Linked DNA regions of Danio rerio. The protein of the gene in region 2 interacts with the protein of the main gene of each other region in a biochemical or structural test. Links are inferred from orthologs where the notes say so. Each region holds a gene or a part of one and is shown on either strand. Other genes may lie near its edges. The genes, in order: dedd1 and cflara.

Region 1 (16,507 bases), on a different chromosome or scaffold from region 2:
TTATTGTTTTCAAATTGGGAAAAGATTTGACAAGTAACTTTTATTATCAATCACTTTTCTTGAAACAAAAAATAACCAATAAAGTGTAAAGTACTTATACAAGAGGCTAGAAAAACTGTGAAGCTCTTAACTGTTGTTGTTGTTATTATTATTATTATTATGTTTTAGTTTTTTATTATTATTTAAATGGCCACATTCTGACTGAGGAAAGTTGAATGTGCTGGCCAGTCAGTTATTTGCTTAATAAATTACACTAGGCTACAGTTTCTAATTTAAAACGTTGATGCATGATAAATGATGCAATATATTTCTGTTTTAAAAACACATATTTGCCATATTTATTTCTTTATTATAAATATTTAGGAAATGTTTTGGTACATCAAAAAGTGTGGTTATGATGACCATCCAACAAGATAATTGATTCAATAAAGTCAGGTAAAAAGTGCTTAAAATTTCATCTAAATTCAGCATTGAAATCTCATAACTAAACAGAAAATGAGGCGAACAACAGCAAAAAGATCTACCTATTAAGAAAAAACCCTTTCAAAAGGCTGGATTAATGAATAGCAAACTATAGATGAAAGGTTCTTCAAAGTGAAGTATAAGATAAAGGAAAAGTTATATTCGGATATTCAGACATTCTCCTTAACAATATAATTTCAGAAAAGTATTCTTTGCAAATTCCGAATAGGAAAATCATATAAGCACCAAATGATTATCAAAGTACAACATTGTTCACAATCAATTAGATAGAATTAATGTTATTTAGAAGTCATACTTGCAGGCTAATTCCGATCGAATATTCAAAGTAACATGGTAAACAATATAGGGACTTCTAAATGTGCGAATATAAAACCAACTTTACCTCTAACGTTATAAGTACAAGAACATGCACATAACTTTAGTCAAGGGATACTAAGACTTTTACACTTGATAGGAAAACAATGAATTTGATCTCCTTCACAGAAAGCAACTTTCTAAACTTCCTCTGTATGTCTTCACTTAATCTATGAAGCTCGCTTTCTATGTTATGGTAAGTTATGAACGTGTTCAATGACGTTACTGGAAAAATGATGTCACTCATGGGCTGCAACTGAAACTCTGCGTTCAAGAAGAGAAACAATCCGGTAGAGCAAGTTTGTTAAGCTGCTACATTACGTCAGATGTGCCTCAAAAAATAAATTATTACAGTCAGACAATAAACAACGTTTTCTTTTTTTGGTATGTCACAAAACATAATCCATAAAGTTTGTTTATCAAATCCGTTACAGACAGCAGCAAGCGCTCTTTCTCAAAATATATATCGATACCCCTTAACTTTGAGATCAATCGGTAACGTTAGTAACATAGAGAAATCGACAGACAGTGAGACGAAATATTTCTAGAATTGTGCTTTAAAAGGGGAGTAAACCTTAAAGTAACAATCATACTCACAGCACTTTGTGTAGATGTGTTGACTGTGTTGATGTGCAGCGGATATGATGTGGTTCGCAAACAGCGGTGACGATCTTCTTCTGTTGACATAAGTTAACACGAGTCAAACTTGCGACTGCCTCCTAGTGACACGGATCAGCATACAGGGCATGCACCTAAATTTTTTTTAAATGGATACAATGTCCTTTACATGTTATAACTATTATTTTGCATTAAGATAAAATATAGAAAATGAGGTTTAATGATATAAGAAAAAAACAGCAAAACTAAAAAAATATGAAAATAATTTTTAAAAATTCAAGTACAAAAGATGCATTCTAGAACTTTTGGGCCCCTTGGCTGGAATTGTTTATGGCCCCAAAATCACTAAATCAGCCCTTGATAATATATAATATATTTTAATATTCAAGAACAGACATACCTAGTAATGAACATTGTATAGTTGACATTCATTTGCAGCATTATAAATATGTGATGTCAATAAATACTTTTTTTCTAGCTAAATGCTATTAATTTCAGGAATTGGATTTCTGTTCTTTTCCAGTACACACTGCCAAAAACCTTGTGGCCTATCCAAGTTTTAGGAACAACAAATAACTTGACTTAGTTGATGATTTGGTATCAGTGGCTGAAAGGCAAAGGCCTCTAGTGTACGCTTCTTTTACCAAAATAAAATATGATTATGCCTTGATTTTTTATTATTTAATGAGGATAGTAAGGCCTGACTTTGCTAAAACAAAAGACTTAACAGAAATAATGTACAGTATAGAATATAAAGTCATGGTGCAATGGAAAAATAATTAATATTGTGTATGACTCCCATGAGCTTGGAGGGCTGCATCCACACATCTCTGCAATGACTCAAATCACTTATTAATAAAGTCATCTGGAATGGCAAAAACAGTGTTCCTGCAGGACTCCCAGAGTTCATCAAGATTCTTTGAATTCATCTTCAATGCCTTCGCCTCCATCTTACCCCAGACATGCTCAATAACTTTTATGTCTGGTGATTGGGCTGGCCAATACTGGAGCACTTTGACCTTTGCTTGCAGGAACTTTGATGTGGAGGCTGAAGTATGAGAAGGAGCGTGATCCGGCTGAAGAATTTGCCCTCTCCTGTGATATGTAATGAAAAGGGCAGCAAATGTCTTGATATCTCAGGCTGTTGATGTTGAATAAATGTAAACACAAATCATATTTTTTCCTTCACCAAACTTGACTGATTTCTGTGAGAATCTTGGGTCCATGAGGGTTCCAATAGGTCAGCAGTATGTGTGATGCAGTTCAACATGATTAATCAAAAAATTTACCTTCTGCCACTTTTCCAAATGATCAACTAGAAGTCAAGTTACTATTTGTTGCTCTTACAGCAGGGATCGACGACAATACTTTTGTCAGGTAGTGTAGGCACAGTGTGATTGCTAATAGCAAAAAAAAAAGTTATTTTAGATATAGGAAATTAATTATTGTTATCAATATTAGAAATTCCTAAATGCATCAAGCTGAGATACATTCACACATATCAGCAAATACCATTTCAGTGATATCTGAATTCTTGATATTCAGTGGGCCTATACTGGAATAAAGATTATCATTAGTGACCATGTATTTATTGGAAAAAAAAAGGTTTTACCAGCAACTGTTACTGATATTTAAAATGGAATTTAAATAGTGAGAAATTAAGTATTGATTTAAAAATGGCAGCCTATGGTCAAAACTAGTGAAGAACTGGTAATTAACTTTATTTCTCAGAGGAGTAACATCATTACTGTTATGCCTCTGTCAGTTTAAAACTAGAATAAATACACATCTCTATGCATTAGCAAACACATAAAACACAAATGCTTTTGAAATCCAAATCCTCCAAAGGATTGTTAGTCTGCATTACTTAGGGCAGCTGAAGCTGGGAACACTTCCCAAAATAAATTACAATTTGAACATCAATTATGTTAGTCTGTTTCTATTATTCCAGAGATTTCCATAATCCTGGACCAGGCCGTATCCTGAGCAGCTGCTGTGGAGGTCATGGAGGAGTGGATAGCATGAGACTGATTCCTGTAAGACCCCAGTGACAGATGAGTCTTCCTCAATGATCCTGAAGAGTCAGTCTGCACACCAGCTGGTGACCTCTCCCACCTGCAGCTTCTCCACGATGGACGTCCAGCGCTCTCCAGCGTCAGACGCTTAGATTGCAGTTCTGCGCAAGAAGTTTGGCCAGAGGAGAAAAGGTCGTGTCCAACAGAGCCTGGTTTCTCTTAAGGGTTTTTTCTTTCACTTTCGGCAATTGGTAAAGTTTGTTCCTTGCCACTGTCGCCCTTGGTTTGCATGGTTCGGTACTTTAGCTGCACATCAATGGACCGACACAGTTTCAATTTACTATAATCTTCTATGTTGAGCTGCTTTGACTCAAATCTACATTGTAAAAACGCTATAGAAATAAAGATGAACTGAATTGAGATTAATTGGATCACTCATCCTGTGATCACCTGTGGAAGCATTAAGTTTATTATCTGTTTGTATATATATTTCAACTTAGATATTAATGTTATGTACATAGATATCTATAGAGCACTGTATGCACGTAGTTTCACTCTGTTTCAACATATTAATTGTGGCATGGAATAAAGCAGCATTATCTGCTTTAGAGTTTATCTGTCTGTTTAACTTTAGGAAGAGAGACACCAGAGTAAGGGCAGAATAGCTAATATAGTAGAAATCTAAATCCCTATCAATAATAATCATTTTAACTAGAAAAACTAAATTGTTGATATCAAGAGAAAGCTGTGAATATTCAAAACATTGCCTTATTCCCTGCTGGTTTGGTCTTTCTTTCTTTCTTTCTTTCTTTCTTTCTTTCTTTCTTTCTTTTGTTCTTTCTCTCTTTCTTTACCATTTTTTTTTGTAATATAGAGGACATTCTTATTTTATTGTCCTTATTTGGTTGTCCTAAATTACTAACCAGAAACTAAATCAGCATGTGAGGATGTTATGGGAATGTCTGGGTCCATGTTATCCATGTATGCTGGTATGATAATTTATGATTTTTGGAGTTTGTATTTCAGGAGTCAAGGTCTGTGAACAGAACTCTGCTTTTTGTTTAAAGCATAAATTACACACTGCCATGTTTTGGGGAAAAACAATGGAAAAACCTGGTTTCACAAGCTTGTTAGAAGCCTATTAATGAATAAATAAATAAATGAGCGAATGAACCAAGAAATGTAGCGGAAATAAACCACAGAAATTAAGTGTAGTTTGCATAAAGGGTGACATCAGGGGGGTATTCCAGAAAGCTGGGTTAACTAACCATCTGCTAAAACCTAAACTCTCGGTTGATTTACCCAAAACCTGCTTACCGCGAGTATGTTGGTTCCAAAACAGGTGACAAGAGTTAGTTAAATCAACCTCCTGAAGATAACCGCGGGTTAATGCGCGTGCACGGCACACACCTGAAGGCATTTTCAGTAGATCGCCGAATTCAGGAGTCACCATAGAAAGTCACGGTGAAAAAAAAGGGCAACGCACTTTACAGAGGCGAAGCTGGAGGTTTTAAACACAGAGATTACACATCTGCTTCAACGAAGGAAAGAAATATAGAATAAGAAATAGATAAGAAAATAAATAATAAGAAAATTTATTAGTTCATTAAATTACACATGCCACCCTCCATTTTATTGTAATGATAAATTAAACTACTCTTTAAAATCCTTTTTGAGTATGTTGTGTAACCATTCATGCATTTATTTTTCTTGCCATTAATTTCTTAAGGCCACAATATGTGTATTGACTAATAAGGCTTATAGAAATTGTAATCTTTCTGGAGCTAGAACTCTGTCCAAAGTCATTAAACACAGAAACATTATCATAAAAGGTAATATTTAATTACTGGAGCTCTTTATTTAACACTCTAGAATATTGTTTCTGACATGCAGCTAATAGAAAGAGGCCTGTCTAACTGCTGTGTCCTATAATAAAGGCTTTTCAGTGGTTGAGTTTTTGACTTAAACCACACACTCTGTCACTGTTGTAAGTGATTGTTGTCAGATAGCTTTAGGTTCTTTTTATTTTGCATGCAGACGAAGTTCCTTCTGCCTCAACTAACAAGCAGTGTAAGAATTTTCTGCACTTTTCCATATTTGAATATTACTCTTGGATCACAAAATCTTTTATCTACATATTTAAATTCTAAAGTAGCTGTATAAGGTCCATCTTCAAAGATAAAGTCACATGAGCATCAGCTTAAGATGAGAAATGTATATGAAAAATATGTTACACGTTGAAAGGTGCTTGTATAAAGCAGTGTAAAAAATCATTCATTTTATTTCAGGAAATGAAGAAATGAACAGACCAAACTATTTGATTAAACATAGTTTTTTGACTAATTATATATTTTTAGCACTCTTCCATCTGTTTTGTCTGCTTGGGTCGCTGAGATTTACTCTGGGTCAGGCTGCAGGTACGTGTCATCGTATAAGGCAGAAAAGGGTATCTTTTGTCCTCCAGCAAGTAACAATGTAGTGCCCAGTAATGATTCTATTTTATAATACAAATATAATAAAAATAAACATTGTGTTAAGCAACATTTGCTTTATAGTTTTTTACTATATTTACTTGAATCATTACTTCCTGAAAATCAGCCATTTAGCCTCAACATAGTGATGAGGTGGGGTGTGTGATGAGCTGGTAAGTGGAAGCAGTAATGAGTTTAATAGTTGAAACACCAAAAGATTAAGGATAGAAAATTAAGTTGTACCTGCACACTTATACTTTGGACAAATTTTATATTATCAGTGTCCTTTAGTGACTGATGGAGCTTTAAAATTGGCTGCAATTAATGCACACAATAGCATTTAGAAACCCTGAAAAGAATATTATATTAAAAAATGTAGGTGTGTGTGCTTGAATGTTTATATAAGAACGACGTCCTACATCTTAAATTAAAGATATATTTTCCTACAAAAGACAAAGCTGCCACTTATTATATTATACAGTAAAATGTGAGGGTGCAGAAGGAGAGAAAAAACTCAAGATCTGTAAGTGAGATTCGAACTCGCTCCGTTGTTCTTTATCGACGCACTGTCCACTACACTATTCCCGTGCTCTGAATCAACTGTGTAATGATACGCAGTAATGTATGACCAAGGAACTGTACAAAAGTGTAAAAAACAGTTCAGTGCCAGGCATACTTTACAGGTGGTCATGCTGCCACATTGTACAGTTGCCTAAAATGCCCTGACGCGAATACAAAGAGCTGCACTAAATGATTTTTATGGTAAGCACAGACCCATGGTTTGTCACATTTGATTTCAAAAAGGTTTGTTAAATACATTAACATTATGAATTTGGTTATGAAAAAAACTATGCACAACGAAAAAACTTGTATCTGTGTGTCCACATCCATAAATATTCTCATCAAAAGAGCACGCAATGCTCAGTAAACTCTCTGAAACAGACAAACTCTGAAACATAGCAACTTACTCTCTGAACATAACCTGCTCCGGAGCAGGTTATCTTCAGAGAGTAAGTTGCTATGGCTACTTAACATACCCAGAAGTTACCTCCGATATTGGAACCAAAGTTGAGGTTATCCACCTACTTACTCTCAAACTTACCCGTGTATGTCACATAACCTGCTTTCTGGAACAGCCCCCATGCATTTTTGGCCATGTTTTTGTTAAATTGCATGGAAAACTAATAATATAAACCCCATTCCTAATTATATTAATTATAATTAATATTATATTAAACCACATTCCTGTCATTAATAAATACTGTTTTTAACATTTTGTGTGTTCAACTGATAATAAAATAATTGTAAGCTGACACATTTTTTTAAATTGCAGTGTTCAGGTAAATGGGCCAGCTAATCAGCTTTTCTGAATCACTATTCTAAATGTGCATTTGTTTTTATTTATTTATTATTGATATTATTGAAAAGTAATATTGCACATATCAGTCAACTCACTTTGCCTTTGGTCTCAGAATATTGCCCCTCCCCACTTAGCAACCTTCGACTGATAAATTAATTTGCTAAATGTTGTCAAGTAATGTTATGGCGACAGTTTGAAATTCTTTGCAGTCATTGGCTGTTACCTTTTGAAGAGACAAGACACTTCACCTTTGGATGGCCTATTTTGGCTATATCACTTTATAACAATAACAAAAACAACGTCTCGAAAGAGTTTTCCTTCAAATTTATTTAATTTTCCCTCACCAATATGGCGAATTTCTGCGGATACCATTTAACGAGCTTGGAGACTCGATCTACAAAGCATATTCAAGTGACCTTCCCGGAACCTTCTTTCTAGAAGACCTTTGGCGATCTGCGGTTGTGCAGAGATCAGTCCACAAAACTCACTGGCACCCGACTGTTGTTTTCCATTTGACTGGTGGGTGAATTTCGTCGGATTCTTGAGTGTTAACACATCAAAAACCCTTTGTGTCAGGTAAGATTTCATGGACTACAGAAAATACGCACATTTTATTCTTACAGTAACATATCGAAACCTGTATGATCGAAACTATTTAGATTGAAGTATCTCGCGGCTAGTTTAATTTTATTTTTGCAAGAACACTAGACTAATATATCATAGTGTTGAAAACAAACCCACTAATGAGCTGTATTTGGAATGCAACAACATCTAAGTCTTTTAACATCGAGTGTTTGGTGCAGTGTGATGTCAGGTCAGCTTAAGGAAAATCTAACGTTAGTCAGTTGCAGGGTTAGCTACGCTTATGCATCAAACACAAACAATCTACATAAGTCTAATAACGAAATCATTCGTGCATATAATTTTAGTAGATTTTGTTGTTTTTTTTTCAGCTGCTCGGCGTCAGCTTCCTCACCTCAAACGTGACGTTACATAAGGAGTGCACGTGACGCTGCGTGTGCCTGAGAGAAACGTCTGACGTCAACATTTGGAGCTGCTGAGCTGACGGACTGAGGGCGGACCACAACAAAAGCTCTGTTCAAAACAAAATAACTTCGCTGAATCTTCTACGACCGTGTAAATATGTTTATATACTGTTGGTTTTGTTCTGATAAAAAGACAATAAGCTGTATTTGAATTTTACATAGACTGTATTTTAGTTCGCAGTCGAGGCTGACAACTAGCTCGGAGGCTAACATCTGTTTTTGTTGAGACTGTCGAAACGCTCTTACATATAACGTTACTTTACATGTTTGAAAAACAGCCAATTAGCGGATTTTATTTATAACGGATATTTCAAGCTTATCTTTATGTAATATTTGTTTATGTAAATAGTGTTGAGTGATTATTGACAAACTATAGTATGTTACGGATTAAATTACAGATTAAATCCATAAACAACACTTTTTTTTTTAGATTTAATTTGGATAGCTTACAGATTTATAATATAATCTGTTTAAAACATGTATTACAATTGTATTAGAGTTTTATACAACTAAAACAAAATGTAAATATAGTTTTTTATAAAGACACAAAGAAATGCAATGTATTTTATAGTATTCAAATATTAAACTGAATTAATCTAGTTCTTAGGTAAAATAAAACGCAAGTAATTTTATTTATTTGCTTGACCATAATTGACATCAGAAACTGTGAACATCACATATTTATACAAATTTAAATAACTGGAGCTTTGGATAAACACATCTGCCAAACAGTTAAACATTTACATTTACAACTGATTTGCTTTTGGATGGCTCTTCAATATATTGGGAATAATTAGAGATACTCCTTATCATACACACTAGTATCTAACTATTTAAATAGCTGAAGAATAAGGGAAAGTCAGTAAATTATAATTTATAGCCAAAAAGCCATTTCATCACCTTAGAATGATATGGTTCTATCTGACAGTTTTGTCAAAATTGAGTTTTGGACATATTCCTATTAAATGACAACTTATGTACATTATGGGATGTTTTTTTTATAAGTTGTTTACATTTTAAAACTTTTTATTTAAAAACATATTACACACATACTGTTTGCTATAAGGAATACAAAAGATTGGAAGCTCAATATCTCAGAATCATTCAGATAGAACCTTATAATTCTAAGGTGACGATTTTGTGCATTATTTGTAATTATGTAATCTGCTAAAGAGTATCTGTAATCTGACCATGAGCATTTTAAAATGTAATCTTCTTTAAAATGTAACATACTTCTTCTTTACCACACAGATTTGAACATTTAGAGGGACCATGTCTTCAGTGAAATGCTCAAGATATTCCCTGTACTGGGAGGAGACTGAGTGCCTGAGCTACTACGAGACGCTTTCACTCCATGAGATCTTTGAAATCGTGGGTTCTCAACTCACAGAGACTGATGTGGAAGTTCTGTCCTTTCTCCTCGACGAAACTTATCCTGGTAAACATCCTCTTGATCCAGAGGGGTGGACTGAAGATCTGCCTCCAGGACCTGATGGATCTCCACAGGCTAATACTCCGTGTCCTCGGCTTCTGAAGTCATGGCAAAGAATGCAGCCGCAGAAGGAGGGATGTTCTATCGCCAGTCGCCACCGACCCAAGAGTGGCGTCGAACTGCTGTTAGAGCTGGAAAGACGAGGGTACTTGAGCGATGCAAATCTAAGACCTCTACTTCAGTTGCTGCGGATTCTGACCCGACATGATGTCCTGCCTTTTGTCTCACAAAAGAAAAGAAGAACCGGTGAGCATCAGCTTTAAAACTACATTTGAATTTTGTCATTGTTTTTTAGATTCTTGATGTATGATGACATTGATGTGATGAAGCTATTGATATTGAGATGGTATGATGTAATTTTTCTATAAGGTACTGATGTGCTATCTTTTCTTTTAGTTTCTCCAGAACGACAGAAGATAGACTATCCAGAGGTGGATTTTAGACAAGACAGAGAAGTGGGCTCAAACACAAATATACCATCTTTTGAAAACACACAAGATCATCATTGGAGAGCCGGTGAGCAGAAACTGAAGACAGAAAAGGCTGAGCACAGTCATTTACTGTTTTCTTTTTTGCTTTATTTGTTAGAATTTTTGTTTATTTCTATATAGGTCTGTGTGATATGTCAAAAATGCAATCTCGATAATTTTTTTCCATATTGAACGATAACGATATATATTTTGATATAAGTTGGTAATGCTTCCAGCTTTAAAAAAGTATCTCAACAATGACTGAAGCCACAAAGATCAGACGCTTCATTGAATAAAATTTAAAGTATTGTTTATTAACAAAAACAGTTTACACATTACTCTATTTTGGAGATTCCGATTTTCTGTGATATACTTATGATATACAATATAAAATATAACATTCCTGAAGATCTGTAACTGACAGCATATATACAGTACACAAACAAAAATATACTTATTGCATTGTCTAAAAATAAACAACTACAGAAACATTTTTAAATAAATGTTTTACTTGATTAAAAATGGTAAAAACAGTAATCATTAAAATACACAACAGTTTAACAGCAAAAACAGCTGGCGGGAAAGTGAATCGAGCTCGCTAAATAATACTGGTTGACAGCATATCTCTAGTATCAACACAGATTCCTGTTGTTGCATAAGTCTGCTCTGTGATTGGCTCTTAGGTCAATATCGAGAAAAAACATTTCCATAGCTTATTATCATTATCAACATAAATTATAGCGCAATTTCGATATGGTATCGTTTATCAGCCCAGTCCCATTTTTTTTTTAGCATTTCTGATCATATAATATAGTAGGGATGCACCACATTTTCATGCGGTGATTATTATTGGCTGAAAATTGCATTTTCAGTTTTTTTGGTCAAAATAGAAATACAAACAAATGTAAAAGCCACAAAAAGAGCAATACTGTGTGCGGTGTTTACCACACTGCTTTCACTCTACCTCTAGGCCTAGTCATTGAGTGTGAAGCAGCTTTCAGACCGGATGCGGAAAGCACTGCACTATGAATTCCATTAAAGAGTATAGTTGATTTACTCAAAAAAAAAAAAAAAAAAAGATTTATTCACCCTTTACTTAATCTAAACCAGTTTTTTTCTCTTAAAAACAAAAGAGGATACTTTATAAAGAAGAATGTTTGAAAAAATGTGACCATTGTCTTCTAAAGTATTTGTTTTTCCTGCTTTGGATGTCAACAGCTACATGTTTTCAACATTCTTTAATGTATATTATTTTGTGTTCAACAGAGCAAGAATAAACTCAAATTGGTTTGAAACTAGTCAGAGGAGAGTAAACGATGACAGAATTGTCATTATTGGGTGAACTATCCCTTTGATTACCATGGCTTACCATTGCAGAGTAAAAAAAAACAGCTCAATGTATCACTTTGTTGATAATTTGCTCATGTACTAATAAAAATATGTTTGCATGAACCGCATCTACTAATCGTAAAGCAAAGTCCACTGAAATAACTTGCAGCTGGATATTTCTATAAAAATATACTTGTTCCTGTTTGCTATAACGCCACTGGGCTGTCATGGCAGTGCTTTTAAAATGCCATTTATATTTACTTTTTGTTTACAAAATTATTTTATATTATTTATTACATTAATTGTAAGAAATCATTTACAATGTTGGTTTTGGAGCAAATTTATGCAGAATTTTTGTTTTTTTGGCCCAGAATTTAATGTTATTTATTGTAATATAATAACCAGGCATTTACTGTTGGTGAGTTGACTCAAATGTTTAATTGAAAGCATATATTACACATTTTTGTTCACAAATTGAAACTATTAAAGAATAATAATTTAGTTTATTTATATGCCTCAATCCAGCAACAACTCATTGTGGTGTTCAAATATTTTAATTCACAAAAAATAACGTGAAGACTTGTGAACATTTTTAGGTGGTGACGCAAATCATTTAGTTACATTTTTCATAATTTCACTGACAATTGCAGTTTGATTCACAGCAATAAACTGAATGAATTATGTTTGCTGCTTGCATCTAATTGAGGAGTGTACTGGTTGGATTACCATTTTGTTTTCACAGTTTTGTCAGTCACATTACTTTAATTTACTGTTTTTGTTTTTATTATGTCATTACTGTTTTGTAATGAAAAGAAAATAGTTTGTTAAAGAAAGTATTTTTTTTGATACATAGACTGTTCACCTCAAGAATAGCAATATGAGCTAACAAAATAAATTTAGTAATTGTACATTTTAAAGACTTTAAATCAACATCGCTTTAACCTCCTAAACTATGGTCCCTGACATCATTCACTTCTGCGTTTTTTACATTTTAAATGTCTGTACTGCCCCAAAACCTCCATAAATGGTTCTGTTCTCTCATCAGTTGGAATAGAATAACTTTTGCATAGATTATGATAGAGACATTTTTCTTTTTACCTATGATTTCTGGCATGTGCAGAACCCACCAAAACTAATTACAGCAACCCAGACCCCCCAGAACCCAGAAAAAGGTACACTTGCAAATTTGAGTTTACAAAAGAAAAAAAAAAACGCCTCTTTATTAGAGGGGTTTATTATAACACGGACAACACATACAATTATTTTAATCACCTTCAAAATTGTTTTATAAAAATTGAAAAGGCTTTTCTTTATAATGAGACCAGACTTTTGCATTTACACCTCTGCATGTGGATTTGGCAAGCTTTTTAATTTGTGTAGGCAAAATCAGGGCGGAAGCCACAAAATAGCACTTGACTTTAAAAGGCTAACAAGGCTAGCCAAATGACTCAGTCTTTTTGATTATATATTTTAATATAATTATTTTCATATATTTAAAAGTATTCTTAAAAATTGGCCACCTCTACTTGTGTTTATAAATTGCTTTTGCCAGTGTTGATAATTAGTGTTTTCGATGTCAGGTTCTGGCTCTTCAATGACATCAGCCTCCAGCAATCGAAGGAAGCGAGGAAGAGGTCACCACTGGAGCAGGAAATCAAGAGGGCCGCCTGAAATCCAGCCTCAGTCAACACCCAACAAAGTGACGTGCGGTAAGAGCACTGTCTTTCTGTTTTCTTCTGTCATGTAGTCTCATTTAACAGCATCCTTTGAACATGTGAATCGTTTTGCCTTGCTACTTCTCTCTCCTTTTATTTGATTTCATATATAAATTGCTCTACAGCTGAAGAGTGAACCTCAATGCTTCATTTCTCGAGTGTGATTAATCAGTCACTCATTCATTAGTGCTTGAACCTCTAATGCTTACAGAACGACAGTGTCAAACTGTCACACAATACGTTCATGTCATCTCCATTCATCCCTTTGTGAATTCCCTGCACTCTGCACTGTTATCACTTTGAGTTTCATTCTGACTGGACTCAAAGGCTGCTCACACCAAAGCCTCTTTATGCTTTTGCTAGATGGGAGCTGTCCTGCCAACAGGGCATTGTTAAAAATCTCTTCAGAACTGAGCACGTGAGGCACACTGAGTGGCAATAATGGCACAGTAGGTAAGAAAATGCCAAAAAAAAAGATCACAAATTTGCCAGAACAGTTTGTTAAGAAAAATGGTTACATGCAAGTTATATTTTCTACCAAAACTGTTTTTCTAGGACATTCAAATCTCAACATACCAATGGGCCCAGTTTAGCTCATGCTCCAATTTGCTTTCAAGTATAAAAATCTGTCAGGTTCTTGTGTAACAGCCTAGTGGGAGCCAAATGTCATTGACATTTAATACGCATACTCGAGTTCACTGCAATTTTGCAATAATTTATTAGTTTTTGCAATAATTTGTTAGGGTCTGTTCAGACTTAATGATTAAAATGATCTTTGTTAGTGCTGGTTATTTGTATAAATTTGAACCCTGCCATTAGGGATGCAACAATTATAGATTTTGGTTGTACGGTTATAGTCAAAGGAATAATCAGGAATATTATGCATTTATGTATTTCAAAACACTACTAGTTTAAAAAAATCATTTAAAAACTCCTTATATTTTAAAGTATTATTTATTGCTGCTCAGTAACAAGTTAATACACCACAAAATAATAATAAAAAAGTCTAAATAGTCTATAGAGGATCGCACACCGGATGCAATTCGGCGGCTGTCCGCTGCGCCCAGCTATGACTCAGGACACTGTTCTGCCACGCCAACGAGAGGCATCTGAATAGTTTTCATTTTAAATAGCATGCGAATGTGCGTGTCTGATGTGTGATACCTCCGACTGTTACCTCCGTGTCGCAGCGATGAGAAACGTTTTTGCCATTTAAACATGAGTAATAATTTTACACTGAAAATAAATGACAAAACAGTGAATAAACAAACAAACAAAAATGAGAATTAAAAAAAAATATTTGTCTAATGTAAATCTAAGCATCATATTAGCTAAATATTTGCCTATTAAAGAAAACAAATGCAGTCGAAGGCTGCTGAACCTTTGTCTGAAATGCACTTTAGATCAACTACATTACAAAATTGTTCGTTTTTTTTTTTTTTTGTAATTTTTTTTCTCTTTGGAGTACAAATGTGTATATTCCATACAAAGTATGAAGCTGATTGATCAGTTCTTGTCATGTGACTCAAGGTGCGTTTGCACCAATCTTTCAACTAGGTGCGCCTGGAAAGCATGAATGCGTCTTGCAGCATGCACATCACTCCCATTATGCTCGCTAGAAATAACAAACTTGTGCGAACAAAAGACACGACATGTGAAGTAGTGCACCGTTAGTGTAGCTTTGTTAAGTTGCAACAGTTTTAGAAATCAGGTGTTGAAGCATTTAAGATTAATTAACCACGACGAAGTAAAGTGCAGTTAATAGTGAAATCGCTTGATCGTTTCATCCCTACCTGCCATGCAAACGTTGGTGTGCACCAAACAAGCTGAAAGATTCTTAATGTACTCTGGTGCTGTTCAACTGAAATGTGAATCAAAATGGGATTAAAATATTTGCGTACTATATGCACACTAAAAGTGAGGATGTTTAATCAAGCTTACAATACTTTTACATTTATGATGCTACCAATTACATAAAGTTATAATTATATTAAAATGAATAAGGTTCATTAAACTTTATGCCACCAGGTTTTGTGTCTATAGGAATGTTTTTAAAAATGCTAATGTGAACACTCAACCAACCAGAACTAAATGCATAGTTTTATTTTTTTGTCTGGATCAAAGAACCAGCAGAACCATACTAAAAGCGTGAACGCACCCTTAATCTGCATGACCTTGCTTACTTTTCAGCCTTTTTCATTTTTGGTTATGGAGTGCATCTTCTGGTGTGCTTAAAATTTTGAAATATGTTTTTAAACACAAAATAGATTCTCATTTTTAAAAATGTTTATGTATGTATTTTTTCACAATATTACTAGCATGATCCTGGCATTTACCCTCAGATTGTCCAAACATTAACAAATATATAATTACAAACTGCAAAAATCTGAGGACGGTTTCATCTTTTAAGATCAGTGATTTTTACCATGCTAATGTCTTAAAAAACACAGGCTTCCTCATGTTTCCACACTATGGGAAGGTGTCATTATAAAAATGTTTTTTCTTACAAAGATTAGGCTCTAAACATGCTCTTTGTCAACATCATCTTTACACTCAGATGCTTTTAATCTGTTGTAACAGAAGCTTAATGACCTGTAATATCTGCTTGTACAAAGACTGCATGGCTTTGATAATGTTCCTCATTAAAAAGTGCTGCAGGGTCTCATAAACACTCAATATAAACTGCTTTTTTCTTTCACATTCATGTCTCCTGCTAAAGCATTTAGCTTTTGCTGAAGGCTACAAGGAAACCCAATGTTTTAATGGTTTTATCTATAGTTTTTTTTTTTTTTTTTAATATATATGTACAGCACTTATCATCCCAGTAGCAGATGCCCTTATCAGTCAGAAGTAATGCACTAATTTGGTGCAGCAAAATAGTCCATACTGGTAAACCTCTTCCTTTCTCATCAGAAACTATGCCGTATTGTTAAGGTAATGTATTTTTACCTAACAGACCTTGTATCTTGTTCTAACCAGACGTGAATTCAATAAATTATATAAAATTATACTTTAAAAAAGGTCCTTATATAAGAACCATTTATTTTTAAAGTACATTCTTTTCAGAGTACTTAAATGTACTCATTTGAATGTGATTTTTTTTTCTCACTTTATTTTTAAATTAACTGGAAATATTTTATAAAAAATTTAGATA
Region 2 (16,641 bases):
AAGAAAATAATCAATACAATTATACATTTATATATTAATCTGCTAATACACATCTTTCTTGACCTTCAATGACATTCTAGTGAAAATGACTATCAATCATTAGGTTTCCGATAGTAGTGTACAATAGCTAATATATATATATATATATATATATATATATATATATATATATATATATATATATATATATATATATATATATATATATATTTTAGATATTGATAAACATATAACCTTCAAAGAAAAAAATATATATATGTAATTGTAATTCAACTGGTTCTTCTGAAAACTAGACAAAGACTTAAACGGGTGCCCAAACTTGGTCCTGGATGGCTGGTGTCCTGCATAGTTTGGCTCCAACTTGCCTCAACACACCTACCTGGAAGTTTATACCTAGATAAAGCTTGATTAGCTGATTCAGGTGTGTATAATTGGGGTTGAAGCTTAAATCTCTAAGACACCAGCCCTCCATGATTGAGTTTGGGCACCCCTGGTCTAAGAAAATGTAATTTCATCACTAATTTTAAAATCAATGCCTAAATGAAAAGCATTCACGGATCATTTAAGAAGAGGGTCTAAATAATTAGGGCTTTAAAAGTGCATTGATTGATTAGTACTAAATGGTCTATAATTCTAGTTACAAAACAAATATTTACTCATACTACACATCAACAAAGATAAAATTGTTGGACAATACTTCTTGGTTATTTGGTTATATAGAGTTTTATATGCAAGATGGAATATAAAAGTGGTGTTCAGTAGTGTTTTCACTGCCAGTTGTCGTTGCTTTTCTGCTTTGGAGCATTCAAATGTAATCTGTATGTATGTGTGAATGTAAAGCTGCTCTGATTAGTATTTAAGAAGCAATAAACAAATAAACAACATCTTGACTAATGACTTAAGGGTATTCAGGACGATAGTACTCTGACTGCAAATGAGAACATTTTTGTATTAGCTGCCACAAGTGACAAATAAATATTAAACAAACATATAACAAAACATACTTGAATAATACAGCATTAATGGCAGTATGTAGCTATGCTAAGTTTTTACTCTAGCAGCAGCGTTTTGTTTACAAACATTTTTTACTAGCGTTTGTAAGAAAACAGAAACCAAAGTATGGAGTGGTTTGTGTTGTGTTGTCCTTATAAGTAGAGTTTTTTCTGTAGTGTGTGAGATTGCTGAAGCTGGTAATTGTCAGAATCGTGACTCAACACATTTCTTTGTACCTCCTTCATGACATCCAATATGGGCACATTTCTGCAAATAAAAGGAAAAATATATATAAATAAACGGGATTTCATGATCAGATTGGTCTCTGTCTGCAAAAGGAAAACTAAAATTGATTGAACACTGACACATTTCTTGTTGAATATGGCGGCTTCAGTGTTAAATTTCAAGAAGCAATAACTAATGGTCTCAATGAATATAATGTTGTATTAACGACAAACCTAAAGATGGATTTTATTGCAAATATTGTAAATATTGCAATTCTGTTGTGCTGAGCTTGTTTATTTGCATTAGGGCTGCTTGAGACTGGAAACATATATAACATTGTTGTTAAGTATCATGATAATTATGTTAAAAATGTTATGATATAACATTTCCCTAAAAATGTGAATTTTATTAGCTGCTTTTAAATAATTTTAAATAATAAGTTATGTAATGATAGTAAAAGAAACAAGTAAAATATAACTAATTATAATTCACACTAAAACTGTCCAGATGCAAACATTTAGTCTGAAACACTACGAATGAGTGAAATCCTCAGCAGATATTCTGACACTTGTCCTTTTCCTCTCATGTCTGACTCTCGGCATAAGTATTAATTTTCAGCTCTGGGTTCACCTTTGGGTTGCTCCAGCTAATAGCAGAACAGCAACTACTGTAGAGGTGGCAATAAAAATAATTAGGCCAATGTGATTGGTCTGAAACAACCAATGCATAAAATAAATGTAATTTATCACACACATCTTCGATACACATTTATTGTGATGTAAATCATATATTGCAATATATTGTGCAGCCCTAAATTGCATACACATTATCAGCTTTTTAATCAGTTGAAAACTCACGAGGAGCTAATGTATGCTTTGTCACAGGTGATCTATTGCTAACTCATGCGTTGAATTGTAATGGGCAAAAGTCTATGGCACTCTGATCATTCTGTCTCATGATAACATCTGTCCACGATGTGTCAAACTAATACAGATATTTTGGAAGCAGATCCACTTGATTGTTGTGTACTTTTTCAAATTAATGGATTTACAAAGGACTCATACAAGAGAGGACCAATTTTCCCAAGCCGGAAACACCCTTAAAAACAGCTAGAAAGCAGCTTATAAATAGTGGTGGGCAGGGGCGGACTGGCCATCTGGCAGACCGGGCACTTTCCCGGTGGGCCGACGTACTTTTTGGGCCAGGCATCATCTTATGATCTGATCGGCCCATAAAAGGCTTAGCAGCCTATCGTTTTTTTCTGCCTTATTAATTGACGCTGCTGTGATCTGTGACTCTGAAAGTAGATGCTTTTTTCCCGGACAGACAGACCGGGCCGGCCCATTTGACACTCTGCAGCCCATTGGCTCTTTTCGGTATTGACATTGGGCTGGCCCAATCACAAACTCCTATTTTGGACTCCGTGTGAGCGTGTGTCGTCTGTGTGTATTTGTCAAAATAGTCGAGAGTCAGAGAGAAGAAACGCAAGGGAGGCGCAGAGAAATCGCGGGAATTACACCGGCGTTTCATTTAGCGATTCTGAAAAGTTCTCTGTACAATCTAGTACACGGCTAAAAGCGCAAATCACGTGACCACACACATGCACACTCTCTGCCAAGAGCTGCAGCCAAGTAGTTCAGCGGCTGAGCATAAACCCCAGGTGAGAGTATAGTGCATGTCAGACAGTTCATCTGCTGGATGATCTCATATCACTATAGTTGTTAAACGTGATATTGAATTTATCTTGTTGTCTCTATCTAACAACTCTTATGTCTTTTGAATCTCTTGCTCTCAGTTAACTGTTTTGGCTGAGTGCAAAGATAAGCTAATATATTAATTAATGTAACCACATACACTGATTCTGCACATTGACTGATTGCTTACCTTTATCGTTTAAATTTAATGTACGTTACACTGTTATAATGGTCATTATTGGTTATTAAAACTGATATTCTGCAAAAGAGACAGGGTAAAGTTCATTCTTTTCAATGGAAATGAAAGAAGGCAGTTGTATTTAAGCCCTGTTTTGTTATAAATATGCAGAGTGAAGATGACGCTCATATAAATATGCAGCTACACGAGGCTGTTTGGTGTCTGTTAATCATAATTTCAAAATGAAACAAATTTCCTTATATTATGTTTTCATTGTTTAGATGAAAGCAGATGACCAAGCAGGATGAGGAGAAAGAGGTTAAAATGTAACACTGTTCCCTTTTAAGATTTGCCCATGCATTAGCAGGCAGTTTTTTTGTTATGTTTATTATTGAATATAGGCTGAGTGAATAGTGTATTGAATAAGCTAAATTGGCTGTAGTGTATGAGTGTGTGAATTAGTGTGTATGGGTGATTTCCAATATTGGGTTGTGGCTGGAAAGGCATCTGCTGCGTAAAACATGCTGGAATAGTTGGCAGTTCATTCTACTGCGGCAACCCCTGATAAATAAGGGACTTATGCGAAGAAAAATAAATGAATGAATAGTGTATTTTTTTTAGAACTCAACAAATATCTTTATGGACAGTATACAGAAATTTAAATTGAGATTAAAGTTTGTATTTATTTATTTATTTAATATATATGGCTTTTGTGTTTTATAATTTTTTTTTATTTATGACGTGCATAGATCGATAGCATTTTGATTGAATTTAGTGGGCCGCTCTGGCCCAAAATGCCAGGGCTGATTTTTTGCCCCAGTCCAGCCCTGGTGGTGGGCAAAGCGAGGCTTCATAAAACACTTAAACAGTCAAAGCAAAGTTGTCGAAGCTTCAAAACCTGTTTCTACAGTGACACCTTGTGGTCAGTTGTGATGTATTACTCTGAACAGCTTCAACAAAGAAACCGTTCAGCAAACTGAGGTATTAAACCCCACGTTGTACACCTGAATTTTTAAGTGATTTAGTGAAGTGGTGAGACTTCCTGACTGGCATGCAGAGGTAATGGGTTTGAATCCAGAGTGATGCAGTTATAGACGTTTTTAAATGCTCTGTTTTAGTAACGAGTTTTGTTTTAACATTGGTTTGTCTCACATCTGAATGTAACATTTCATTTAGACTTTCCCAGAAATTGCTATTTTTAAAATACATATTGCTCAATCTTAGTAAATGCATTGATTAAAACGAGACCATTTATGGTACTAACAAATAAGCTTCATAATTTAGCATTGCTGGTGTAATACAATGCAGCAAGAACATTTATTTCATGTTAAGGAACAAATAAATGCATGATTTCAAATATTAAAGGGATAGTTCACCCAAAAATTAATTTACTCATCTACTCACACTCAAGCAGATCTAAACTTTTATGATTCTTGAACACAAAACAATATATTCTGAAGAATGTTGGAGAGCAGCAGCCATTGACATCCATATTGTTAACAAAAAAAAAAGTCTTCCAACATCCTTCAGAATAAATGTTATATTAATAATTTGTCTCCAACATAAGAAACTCAAACAGGTTTGAAACAAGCGGATGAGTAATTTAAAATATTTCTGTGAACTGTCCTATTAACATTGGTAAATTAGGCACTAAGAAATGTTTTATAAACAGTGGCCATACCTCTCATGTCCTTTCAATAAAGCATTGTTCAATGCATTCAGGTAAACCGACTGGTGCCCGGACTCTTCCAGCAGTTTTACCTCTGCTGTACAGACACTCCAGAGGACGTCCGCTGGCATTGGAACACTTCCTGTGTTTGAACACTGCCTGGAAGCTGGTGCATCTGTCTCAAGGTATTCGTCATCCATTGAGGGCATTACTGGGGCTTCTGTGATCCTGTAGAGCTGGGTGAAGAAGATTTTTGGACACTTGGTTGCGTTGAAAAGCTGTTTAAGATCCTTCAGGTTGATGCCGAGCCTGTTCGAGTCGGTAGCCAACAGATGAGTGTTTGTTCCTCTGCTGATGAGGCAGCAGACAAAGCATCTGACCCTTTGAAGAATTCTGTTCAGGCTCAGATCTTCCAAAACCTTCTGGGTTTCCTTCAGACCCAAGAGAGAGTGAAAAACGACCTTGAATCCCAGACATTCGAACGTGTGCTTCAACATTTCTGAAAGGACACAATGTGTAGATGTTTAGATGCAGAAGTTATGTGTAAAAGAAAATGATGAACATCCACAGTGTTAGTTCTGTTCTGACATCAATGTTTTCCCCAGTTTGTAATTACTGGGAAAATAATCATGTTGTATGAAAATTATGAATTTGTTAGGAAAATCAGGGGTATAATATAGGATTTTTTTTATTTTACTCTGAGCACACTTGTCGGAATAAAGAGTGTCAATGAAACCAGGGGCAAAACAAGTATTCAGAAAGTGTAAACTGTCATGGTATTTTTTCCCCACCTAAAACAGAAAGTGACCTTATGATCCTCTTTTAACTTATGAAAAAAGTCAATAAAGAAATTATAGTATTTTATTAGTTAAATGAGGACCTTAAGGTCACTTTCTCTAGATGATTCTCTAGAACAAATACAAAAGAGAAAGACTTTCAGAAATAGAAGTACAAAAATCACTGTGGCAGTACCTTTTTTTTTTTAAGTGTGTGTTACCAAACAGTCCCTCAGTTGTACTGTGACTGTACATACTAGTACCTAAAAAGTATTAAAGTGTACCTTTAAAGTACCAATGTGGCCCTGGTACAAAAGCCCCAGTGACAGCTTTCGTACCTTTATTTTGAGAGTATGACACACACTTACCTCCATCATAGCCAACACAGTCAATAATCACACACAGGCCTCTTTGTTCGGGATTCATTTGATACTCCTCTGTAATAGCCTAGCAGATATAAAGACAACTTATAAACTTTAAAAGAATGGCAATTTCTATTTTAATTGTTTTTAGTCAGCCGAGAAGCTGATAACTTACCTGTTGATAGTGAATCCCTGTTTCAGGCACAGAAAGCTTCAATTTGTTGAACTCTAGAAGAAGATCACAGGGTCAAAAATAAAGTGATAATTAAGCAAATCAAATGTTTGATTCTGTCATCATGTACTCATTCTCGAATGGTTTCTTCCCAACCTTTATGAGCTCATTTTTCATCTGTTGAACACAGAAGTTATTTTGAAGGATGTTGGAAATTGAAACCTGTGACCAATGACTTGCCCAGAAAGAAGAGCAAATACAAGGGAAGTCAGTGGTATAAGCTTTCCAACATTTTTCAAAATAAAGTTTGGGTTCAACAGAAAAAGGAACCTCAATTAGTTTTGTGAAATGTGAAGTGTGAGTAAATAATGACAGAATTTTGTTTGAACTATCCCTTTACACCCGCTTTACACATACTGTACATACCTACATATTAACTCACCATGATTGAAGCACTGTGATTGTCTCACTTGCTTTTCAAAAGGCTGACACTGCATAGGGGTGAACTGAAATTTTAAAAAGTAGAAAAACAAAGAGTTTAAAAATATGCTTTATATACTTTTCATATACTGTATCAATATATTTGTTTAAATGTCTTACCTTAAAGGTATTTGGAGCGGCACATGGCATGTTCTGACCTAAATAATTTTTATTTAGTAAATTTAATCACGTAATTGCTTTATTTGATATATATTAGTAAATAAAATAACTGAGTCTAGTTGCCAAATTAAGAGCTTTGTGGTGCGTTATAGAAATGCATGTTTTTTTTTTGCAGAAGATTTTCTCTTTTACTTTCTTTCAAAAGGGACTGACCTCTATTCCTGTACGCCTGAATTTTTTTGACAAGGTCATTTCTGCGAATATTTTTAAGACACTTTTCAAGAAAGTCCAGCTTCTCACAAGATACTTCATTTAATTTCTCCAACTCCACCACCACATCTAGAAAGCTCTATTGGAAATCAATTGAAACCAAAATGAAATAGCACACACATTTCTAGAAAAATAGCATATTCATGTTCAGTTTTACCTAAATATTCTGCAGAATAAATATTAATTTGAACAGACAGAAATATTCAGTAAGGTCTTACAGTAGCTCTAGTTGATCTTTCTTTGGGCAGGATACTGCTTAGGAGGAAGATAAGAGATTGTAAATCCTCTTTATCCAAGTTTTCACTCACATCTGCCATTAGAACCCTGTATAAAAGTAATCAATTCAATAATCGTACTGCAAAAGAGAGTGTAAATAACACACATGGGTATTTCTACATGGGTATTTCTAATGAAACTGCTCTAATGACCTAAAAAAACAAACAAATGTCAAGCTCTAAAATAGTTCTTCTTTACTAAAATTGTATTTTTCCACCACATGGGTCATGGGTTAGGAAATATCTGAAATGTGTTCATTTGAAGAATAAATTACCTGTAATCTGAGATGACGCGCTCCTTTCTGAGAATTCCTTCTACCTGTTGTTTGTTGGTGCCAAAAACTTTGCGTAGTAAATCATAGCGCTTCATTTGAAACATGAGCTCCATCAGCAGAGCATTTCCAGAATGAGGTTGACCTGCTTGATTGGGGTTCTGTTGGGCAAAGGCCAGCAAATCTCCTCTCAGTTCTTCCACACAACTGTTGTTGAACAAATCAGTGCAAAGATACAGCAGGATCTTAGACTCGTCGCTGCTAAGAGATGCGGTCACTTTGTTAACCAGAGTAGAAAATCCATCTGCCATTTCACCGTATGGTGTTGTATAAATACTTTAGGTAATAGTTTGGGTCATTTTAAAAGCAGAATTGAATTTTCTATGCATTTTTAAAATCTAATTAAGTTAGTCTAGAAAAAGGGCTGTATTTTCTTTTTCTTTTCTTTTTCTTTTTTTTTTGCAATCAATGAATGAAAATTGCATTTATCTTGACAGAATGGAAGAATGTAGCCACTTTGGATTTACACCTGTAAAAGACAAACAGAACACCCAATTTAGCAAAAAAATAAAAAAATAAATAAAAAAAAACATCAACAAATGAAAGATACCTGTAAAAGGCTGAATTACCTTCAGTGACCTTAATTTGGAGCACCAAATTCTTTGGTGGTTTTGCCAGCAGCGAGCTTCATCTTTTGCTGACACTAAGTTAAAAAAAATTTTTAAAAAAAGAGGAGGAGAAAGGGGACTCATCACTAGATGGATGTAAATCTAAATGAAACCATAATGATGGAAAGTACCTAGACATCCACAACAGATTTTGTGGGGGGCATTTTACCACGGTGGTATTTTTTGATATTCTTTAAAATACATTACATTTGATGTTTTCAAACATCCTTGTCAGTGTGCTTAAGCAAGGGGATTTCCGAAATCAACCATGGAATTTGTATAGCGTCACTACACAAGCGTTTATCTACTAACTAGCCTATTTCACAGCGTTTATCTACTAACAACGCCTTTTCATTGTTTTTGGCATAACTTTTGAATTCCGAAGAACCACTTCGGTCGTAAAAGATTAATCGATTCTTTAATGTCTTTATTGTGAAAACATTCGACTCGAGCTGATTCAAAAAGTTGAATGTATGAATAACTAAGTCTCCCGACAATACTAACTTACACCTGTTCCTAAAGCCTACGTGGACAGAGATACAGGCGGAGCAGATAATTAAAGGTCACAACAGCAATACAAAACGATACAATACGCGTATTCTAAAACAACTACTACGTTTCACCGTCGACTGACTTGAACTGCCTTTGTTTACATGTTGTTCACAACGTCTTCCGTTCAGTAGTTAGGACTCTTCAACTTACAGCCGAATTTGTCCGGTAAAATTGTACTTATAGTAGGTTACGTAGGCCATTTATAGAACTTGTTAACGTTAAGTGTTTATCGACTAACTTGTATGAAGCTATAACAAAAAATCTTACTAAAAGTAAGCTATTTGATCAGAGAGAATGTATTTAAATGATATTTTTACCTTTTACGTCGTACGTCGCCATCGTGACAAACTGAAGCAAAAGCGAAAGCAAAGTTACCAAAGCCTTTGAGTTACGCGAAGTCACGCCCTGTTCCGGTCGATCGAGACAAGTAGTGGTGCTCACTGCAGAGCCATTTAGGCAGAGCTGAGCTCCAGCGAGGGGGAGCTTGAGCTCTCGTTCCTCCTTTCATGCACTTCTACGAGTGATGTCACTGGGGTAGGGTTAGGGGTGGGGTTGGTGCACGCATTAAAACGAGAGGGTGCTCGCTGCAGAGCCATTTGAGCAGAGCTGAGCTCCAGAGAGGGGGAGCATGAGCTCTAGCTCTGCCTCCTGAAAGCTGTTTTAATGCGTACACCAGGATTAAAACAGCTTATAGGAGGAGGAGCGAGAGCTCATGCTCCCCCTCTATCGAGACAAGCTGTACTGATATCAGCCCTCATGGATGATCAGTCATTATTCATCAAACAAAGTCAGTATAGCAGATACTCGTTGCTGGCTTTGCTGAAACATTTTTCAGAGATATATCAACGATCTAAATTGGGCAGGTTTAATTTATATAATGGATTCACTATAATGAAGGAAATATGGCAAGATTATATGTGTAGGCTATAATACATCTTTATATGTAATACAAATCTTTTTACATTTAATAAATGTCTAACACTATATTATTATTTTACTCCAGCGATAAGTATTTATTTGCTCAATTTTCTAACTTTTTTTATTAATGATTTCCCACATGAAGTACTATAGTGATTTAAAGTAAGTAATATATTTGTTTTTATGTTTTTATATAGATTTGTTAAACCATAAAGTACTGGTCATTTGTGATAATTATAGTTGCAACAAAATAGTAATACAAACAAATTGACTGATAATAATAATTATATATTTAAATATATTTATTATATATATAATATATATAACTAAAAGTTGCTGCAGTTTAGTAAAAGATGAAGTAGTTATTTTAAATTATCAACTATAGTAATTCATTTTAATGTGACACAATGTTTGTTTTGTATATTTTACTATAAAACGATTCTAACTAAGTATAACAACATTAAGATCCTGAATTAGTTTATTACACTCAATCCTATGATTAGATGGTCTGTTATGCTTTCTTAGTGTATGTGGATATGTAAATAAAGTCATGTGTCTAACCAACTATTTTTATTTACATAATTTGAGTTCCAAAACTGCACAGATCAGATGTTAAAGTGATCGTTACGATTTAGCTGATTCTATTGGAGATTTTTTTTTTCACTTATGCAGTTTTGTTATGCAACTACGGCTAATTTGCTAACAGACTTGTTGAAAAGAATAAAAACAGATTTTTTCCACCTTTCACATTTTTCATTTGTGGACTCTAATGCTGAAATAAATGCATAGGCTGCTGCAAAATAATATTTTGCTGATTTGCTCATTTTATTGTAATTTTCACGCCAAGTATAAGACATTTAGTGAATTTACTCACTGAACAAATATGAACAACATCTAAGGTAAGCAGTGTCTGGGCAAACAAGCAATGCTCAAGAGAAAACAAGAAAGTTTTAGTACATTTCATAGATGAAAAGATACAGATAACTATAAGAACTTACTATTTAATTTTGGTCTTATTTTATAGTACTTGCTTCATACTTACTATAAACCATTATAAATTACTTTTATATAACCTCCAAATATTTGATCAAAGCATTCAACAGTGCCTTAACGTTTGCATGATCTAGACATATTACCTATGATTAGTACATATAGGACTGGATTTAGTGATTTGGGGGCCCTTAACAATTCGAACCACCGAGATGTCCTACAGTAATATGCACACTTGGTAATTGTATTTTATTTATTTAGTTGTCTTTTTCTTGTATTACTCAGTCTTGCTTTGTATATTTTTCTCTTAACGCAATTTCTACATTTCATAAGATTTGATTGCTTAAAATGAGTTCACAACTAAAAGTAATAAATAAACTTTTTGGGTTTTAAAACAAAATTTTCATCCGATGTGACTGCTGGACAAAATACATTTTATTTCATTTAAGTTTATAGTTATGACTCTGCCAAATTCATTTAGCATAAATCCGCAGGTCTTTTGCAAAATTCTCCGCAAAAATGTCTGCAGATTGTTTCTGGCCCTAGTAATAATTAATTTGTTTTTTACAGGTTTGGTAATTATTTAGCATTGTGACACACCTTTATGAGAATGAAATGAACTGACTTTCAGAAAATACTTGAAACGACAAATGAGATAAAACACTTTATTATAAATTGTAAACAAAATACCAGTGAAACACACCCAGTGTGAAAGCTAAATGTTGAGTCCATGCTGTCAAAAACAACGTTTGTGCTTTGAAACCATGTTTACAGAAAACAAGCTACTTTTTTGCCAGGGGATAAGATTCCATATAGTCATTCAAGTGTTGTTTGTGAAACTGTGTTAGGCTGCGGGTCTAACTTAAAAATCAGGTCAAGGTCTTGCATTGTGATCAACATTATGACTGTATATTGTACAGATCAGCACTTGGAAAAGCTCCCGAAGATAAACAATAAGATCAAAGAATCTTGTGCAATAAGCGGAATCCTTTGATGATGATTCTTTCACAACAAAACTGTAAAATGATACACTTTACAAACGTATACCAATTCCATATTTTAAAGCAAATAATTTAACAGTTTCTAATCAAAAAAGTGCAAATTTTCCACTATTTTGTCTTTGCATGTTTTACTTTAAACGTCAGTTTAAAACAGCTTAAATTAAAGGAACAAATTACTAACATACTGACTTGATATATTTTTTGGGAGCATGAAGGTTTTGGTTTAAGTCAGGGGTGTCTAAACTCGGTCCTGGATGGCCGGGGTCCTGCTGAGTTTAGGTCCAACTTGCTTCAACGCACCTGCCAGGAAGTTTCTAGTTTATCTACTGAGAGCCTGATTAGCTGATTCAGGTTTTTTTAATTAGGGTTGGAGGTAAACTCTCCAGGACACCGGCCTCCCAGGACTGAGTGTGGACACCCCTGGTTTAAGTTAAATGGATAGTTCACCCAAAAATAAAAAATGTACTCATATTCAAGTGGTTTAAAATGTTAATATCTGTTTCTCCTTGTTGAACACAAAACAAGATATTCTGCAGAATGTTGGAAATAGTAATAACAAAAAATACAATGGAAGTCAATGGTGTTTTTTTTTTTCATCGATCATCGGTATATCTTACTTTGTGTTCAAAAGCAGAAGCTCAAACAGGTTTGGAACAAGTGAAGGGTCAATAAATGTTGACAGAATTTTTATTTTTGGGTGAACTGTCTCTTTATTTTACTTTGGTTCCAATATACATTTACAGTATTTCTCGCCACATCATGTGCAGTAGTATTCACCAGAGATTTACAAAACGTTTTGATATTTTTATTAATCCATGTGACATTTCCTGGTCATGAAAACACAATTTTAACATTGCACAATATCTGAAGGTTTTCCACGACTGCATGATTAAAGTTATAATAAAATTGTAAATGATTGTACAATGAAGTGAGATGAGTGCTATAATTCATACCTCTCCATCAGATCTGAATCTGAATGATCTGTTAGTCTGGAGTTGTCCAATTATCTGTTAAAAGGTTTTTGAAAATGCAAGATGATTACACCATTCCCATCATGTGTGAAACAGTCTGTTGCGTTTAATGGTCGGTGTCCATGGTTGAACACTATTATAGCACCATTGTTGTTACTCCTGTGGAAATACAAAGCACCACATAGTTGATTTAAACACAAATACAGCAATCCAGTGATCTGAGACATACCCACACTTGGATGTGAACACAATATTAAAACAATAATAATAATATTAAAACTGTACAGCACAAAGTGTAAAAGTTGTCAGCTTAGAGAATAAAAAGGTTTCAGTCTAGTGGCTATTTCAAGTGAGCTTAAGAGTCAGAAACTTGAGTACATACAGGACATGATAGCTTCTTATCAGCTGTGTGCAACTTGTGTAATGCAGGGCAAAGGTAAATATATAGCATTTTTCCGATCATTGTCTATGAGGGACAGATCCTCGTTTGATTTTAAGAATGTTTCTACTTAAGTTACTGCTACACATAAAAACATTCAAAGTACATGACGAATATCTGTGGTTGATAAATAAAACCAAAGATACTTAAAAAAGTACTTTTCTGTATATTAGAACAGATCTGACTGATAGATGATAGTAAATAAAAACCTTTAAGGCATTTTTTCTAAGCAAGTTGCAACTTATTTGCTTTGTAGACATAATAATAAAATGAGCTTCAGATTTCCAGGTGAATCAAACGTCAGAAGTGTAAATATGAATCATTATTGCATCATAGTGACTCAGAATAAGGCTGTGGTTTTGAGCAAATTTACAGTTTTGATTTGATCTTTATAATGGCTTTATAAGTAAACAAAGAGGCAAAAACTCAGAAACTCTTGTTGTTAGCGACACTTTAAGTTCATTAAAAGAACTGCATAAACAATGTACGAGAATGTGCTTCAACTTGCCAATATACTAATGATGAAGTTGTTTCATTCTTTGATTTGAAACAAAGAGAAGTCGGAAATAACTTTACAGCACTATACTGTTAATTAACCTTCAAGTGGCAATTAGATGAGTATGTAAATACGTGATACGCATTTTACTCTCAATAACAAAATGAGAAAACTGTAGTAAAGTAAGCATTTGATCATATAGATGTGTATCTGTTTGCGCAAGATTTGCAATTAACAGCATCATACCGACAGTTCATTTGGAGTCATTAAAATTTTGATAACAGTTTGATTATGAAGTATGTTAGGGCTGCACAATTTATCGCTTCAGCATTGATATCGCAATGTGTGCGGCCGCAATAGTCACATCACAGGATTTATAACATTGAGTTATAGGATTATATAGTTTAGAATTTATATATATTTTATATTGAGAGTCTAAAGCCACAGTTCAAAACACAAGATATGTGGAGTTACTGCAGAGTTCAACCATAATATGGAGTAAAAGTTGTAACGTTTGCACGTTTTTAAACCCTAAGAGAGTTTAAAGCAGGAGCGTCAAACTCAATTCCACTGCCCCGCACAGTTTATTTCTTAGTTCAACCCTGCTTCAACTCACTTAAGCCGCGGTCACACTGGACATTTCTCCCTATAGACTTCCATTAATATGCACGCGGATGTGCCAGGTGGGAAACGCAAGCTCATGCGACAAATTTCGTAGTTTGCTGCGTTGCAAAGTTCAAGCTTGGAGAACTCTGACCTGTAAAATTGCATCACTTGAATGCATGAAACCAATCGAGGATCAAAACATGACATCTCTGTGCAGAAATGTATAATATGGACCAATCGCATGCTTTTTTAAATGTCTAATCATCTTGTTTAATCCCGCCTCTTTTTGCGGCGCCATACAACAAAATTTCCCTGTAGGATTCAAACAAGCCTGAAGGACTTAATTAGTTTGATCCGGTGCGTTTATTTAGAGTTGGAACTAAACTGTGCAGAGCTGCAGCCCTCCAGGAACTGAGTTTGACACCTGTGGTTTAAAGCATTCAGGCGGAAGCAATTTTACCATTTGTAACATTAATAGAAGATCATTTTATTGAACTATTTAGTAAAGTCTTTGCAGTGTTATTTTATTTTATATGATTTGTTTTTATTTCTGTGCCTAAATACAATTTGATTGCCTTGACAAACCATAACACACAGTTTATTTCACTTTTATATGTGCTCTATTGCATTTACCTATGCTTGTAATTTGTTTATAACATATCATGCATGACTCGCTTCCCTACAGAACCATCCCAATCAATCTAAAATTAAGGAATTATTTCCAAATAGAGATATTTAACAAGTCATCTGGTGAAATTGTATATACAGTTGAAGTCAGAATTATAACTCCGCCTTTGCATATTTAAATTTGTTTTAAGTATTCACCTAATGCTTTAACAATACAAGGACATTTTCACAGTATGTCTGATAATATTCTTTCTTCTGGAGAAAGTCTTATTTCTTTTATTTTGACTAGAATAAAAGCAGTTTTTAATTTTTTTAAACACCATTTTAACATTAAGTCAAAATTATTAGTCCCTTTAAGCTATATATTTTTTGGATAGTCTACAGAACAAACCATCATTATACAATAACCTGCCTAATTACCCTAACCTGTCTAGTTAACCTAATTTACCTAGTTAAGCTTTTAAATGTCACTTTAAGCTGTATAGAAGTGTCTTGAAAAATATTTAGTAAAATATTATGTGCTGTCATCATGGCAAAGGTAAAAAAAAATCTGTTATTAGAAATAAGTCATTAAAAAATATTCTTCGTTAAACATAAATTGGGAAAAAATAAACAGAGGGGGCTACTCATTCTGACTTCAACTGTATATTTCAATATGTGTAAAACGAAAAAAATTGCAATGCCATATTTTTCCAATCTTGTGCAGCCCTAAAGTATATTTTAATCATAGAAACTATTTAAATTTAGCTACATGAGACTTTGGACTAATTTTCTTTGCATTGTACATTGACCTTACTCCCAGCAGGCACACATCATAAGCTGTTAATATTAGGTTAGATTTAGGTCATGATGTCAGGTGACCAAAATTCTGTCAAGCCAGCGTCTAAGGACAACATTATTTTGACATCCAATAACGAAGTCAAATTACTTTGATATTTGGTTGATTTTGAGTTGTGTTGGAAAGTGACCAAAATCCAACGTCTGAAAGATGTCATACTGGTAACGTCAACATGACTAGATGTTGATATTTGCTTGATTTTATGTTGGACATTTGACAAGGAAGTCGGCCTGACAATGGGTTCTGATGTCAACCTGATTTTCATGTCCAAACAAAATCCAACGTCCTCATGACGTAGGGGTACAACGTCAATATGACGTCATGTTGACATCCTTTGCCTGCAGGGAATAGTTCCATTAGCTTTATCCTGAACATTGTAAACACTTGTGTTGAAATAATGTGTTTGAAATAATTGAATTAAACTCAACAAAGTTTGAACAAAAAATCCTTCAAAGATTTCATCTTAGTGACAAGTAAAAATGATTTATGCCAATCAACAACATGCCATCCTTCTGACATCACTTAAAATACACCATTTTTCCATATTCTCAGCTCACAAATTAGAAGTCTGCTCAACGTCCTCCAACCTCTTTCCCTGGAGGGTCCCGGAAAGAGTGTCTGAATCCAGCAGCTCAACCACATTATATGGGGCGCAGTCCTCCAACCCCAGTTTTCCACACATCCACCCACAGAAGCCCTTCTCCAGGTCCCTCACCGCCAGCCACCACTCTCCAAACACCCAGGAGAGCTGGGAAACAGCAGCGTAAACCCCCATGCAAACACACAACGCCATGATTAGCACCGGATATAACAGAATGAGCAAGGGACACAATGTGATCTTGTGCAGAAAGCTGCGCTCTTCATTGTAAACCAGAAAGACGTTGTACCAGGTAAGGGTACCGTAGTAAAATGAGGTGATGAAGGAAAGGACAAAGATGAACGGGGAGCAGGAAAGGCTCCAGAGGAGGACGTGAGGACCCTGGCTCAGCCCCAGAGCACAGGGTTTTTGCTTGGCCTCCGCGACCCCGTCACATTCAGCATCCAAGCGC

Evidence for each region.
Region 1: the proteins of cflara (region 2) and dedd1 form a complex in vitro, tested with the Homo sapiens proteins (2 studies listed by BioGRID). The link is inferred for Danio rerio from reciprocal best matches to the Homo sapiens genes CFLAR and DEDD2.

What each region holds. Positions count from the first base shown.
Region 1 is NC_133191.1:11,088,033-11,104,539, forward strand, and holds the start of dedd1 (death effector domain-containing 1), read left to right. Parts: upstream 1-7,721; 5' UTR 7,722-7,877; intron 7,878-8,254; 5' UTR 8,255-8,438; intron 8,439-9,598; 5' UTR 9,599-9,619; coding exon 9,620-10,085; intron 10,086-10,235; coding exon 10,236-10,355; intron 10,356-13,218; coding exon 13,219-13,347; intron 13,348-13,716; coding exon of another isoform or gene 13,717-13,775; exon of another isoform or gene 13,776-15,847; intron 15,848-16,507. UniProt on the Homo sapiens protein: May play a critical role in death receptor-induced apoptosis and may target CASP8 and CASP10 to the nucleus. May regulate degradation of intermediate filaments during apoptosis.
Region 2 is NC_133186.1:32,568,372-32,585,012, forward strand, and holds cflara (CASP8 and FADD-like apoptosis regulator a), read right to left. Parts: upstream 9,184-16,641; 5' UTR 9,024-9,183; intron 8,190-9,023; 5' UTR 8,116-8,189; exon of another isoform or gene 8,097-8,115; intron 8,016-8,096; 5' UTR 7,798-8,015; coding exon 7,490-7,797; intron 7,264-7,489; coding exon 7,158-7,263; intron 7,019-7,157; coding exon 6,883-7,018; intron 6,708-6,882; coding exon 6,670-6,707; intron 6,576-6,669; coding exon 6,512-6,575; intron 6,126-6,511; coding exon 6,073-6,125; intron 5,983-6,072; coding exon 5,904-5,982; intron 5,259-5,903; coding exon 4,772-5,258; intron 1,261-4,771; coding exon 1,146-1,260; 3' UTR 711-1,145; downstream 1-710. Other genes in the region: tmem169a (transmembrane protein 169a), read right to left, coding at 16,146-16,641. UniProt on the Homo sapiens protein: Apoptosis regulator protein which may function as a crucial link between cell survival and cell death pathways in mammalian cells. Acts as an inhibitor of TNFRSF6 mediated apoptosis.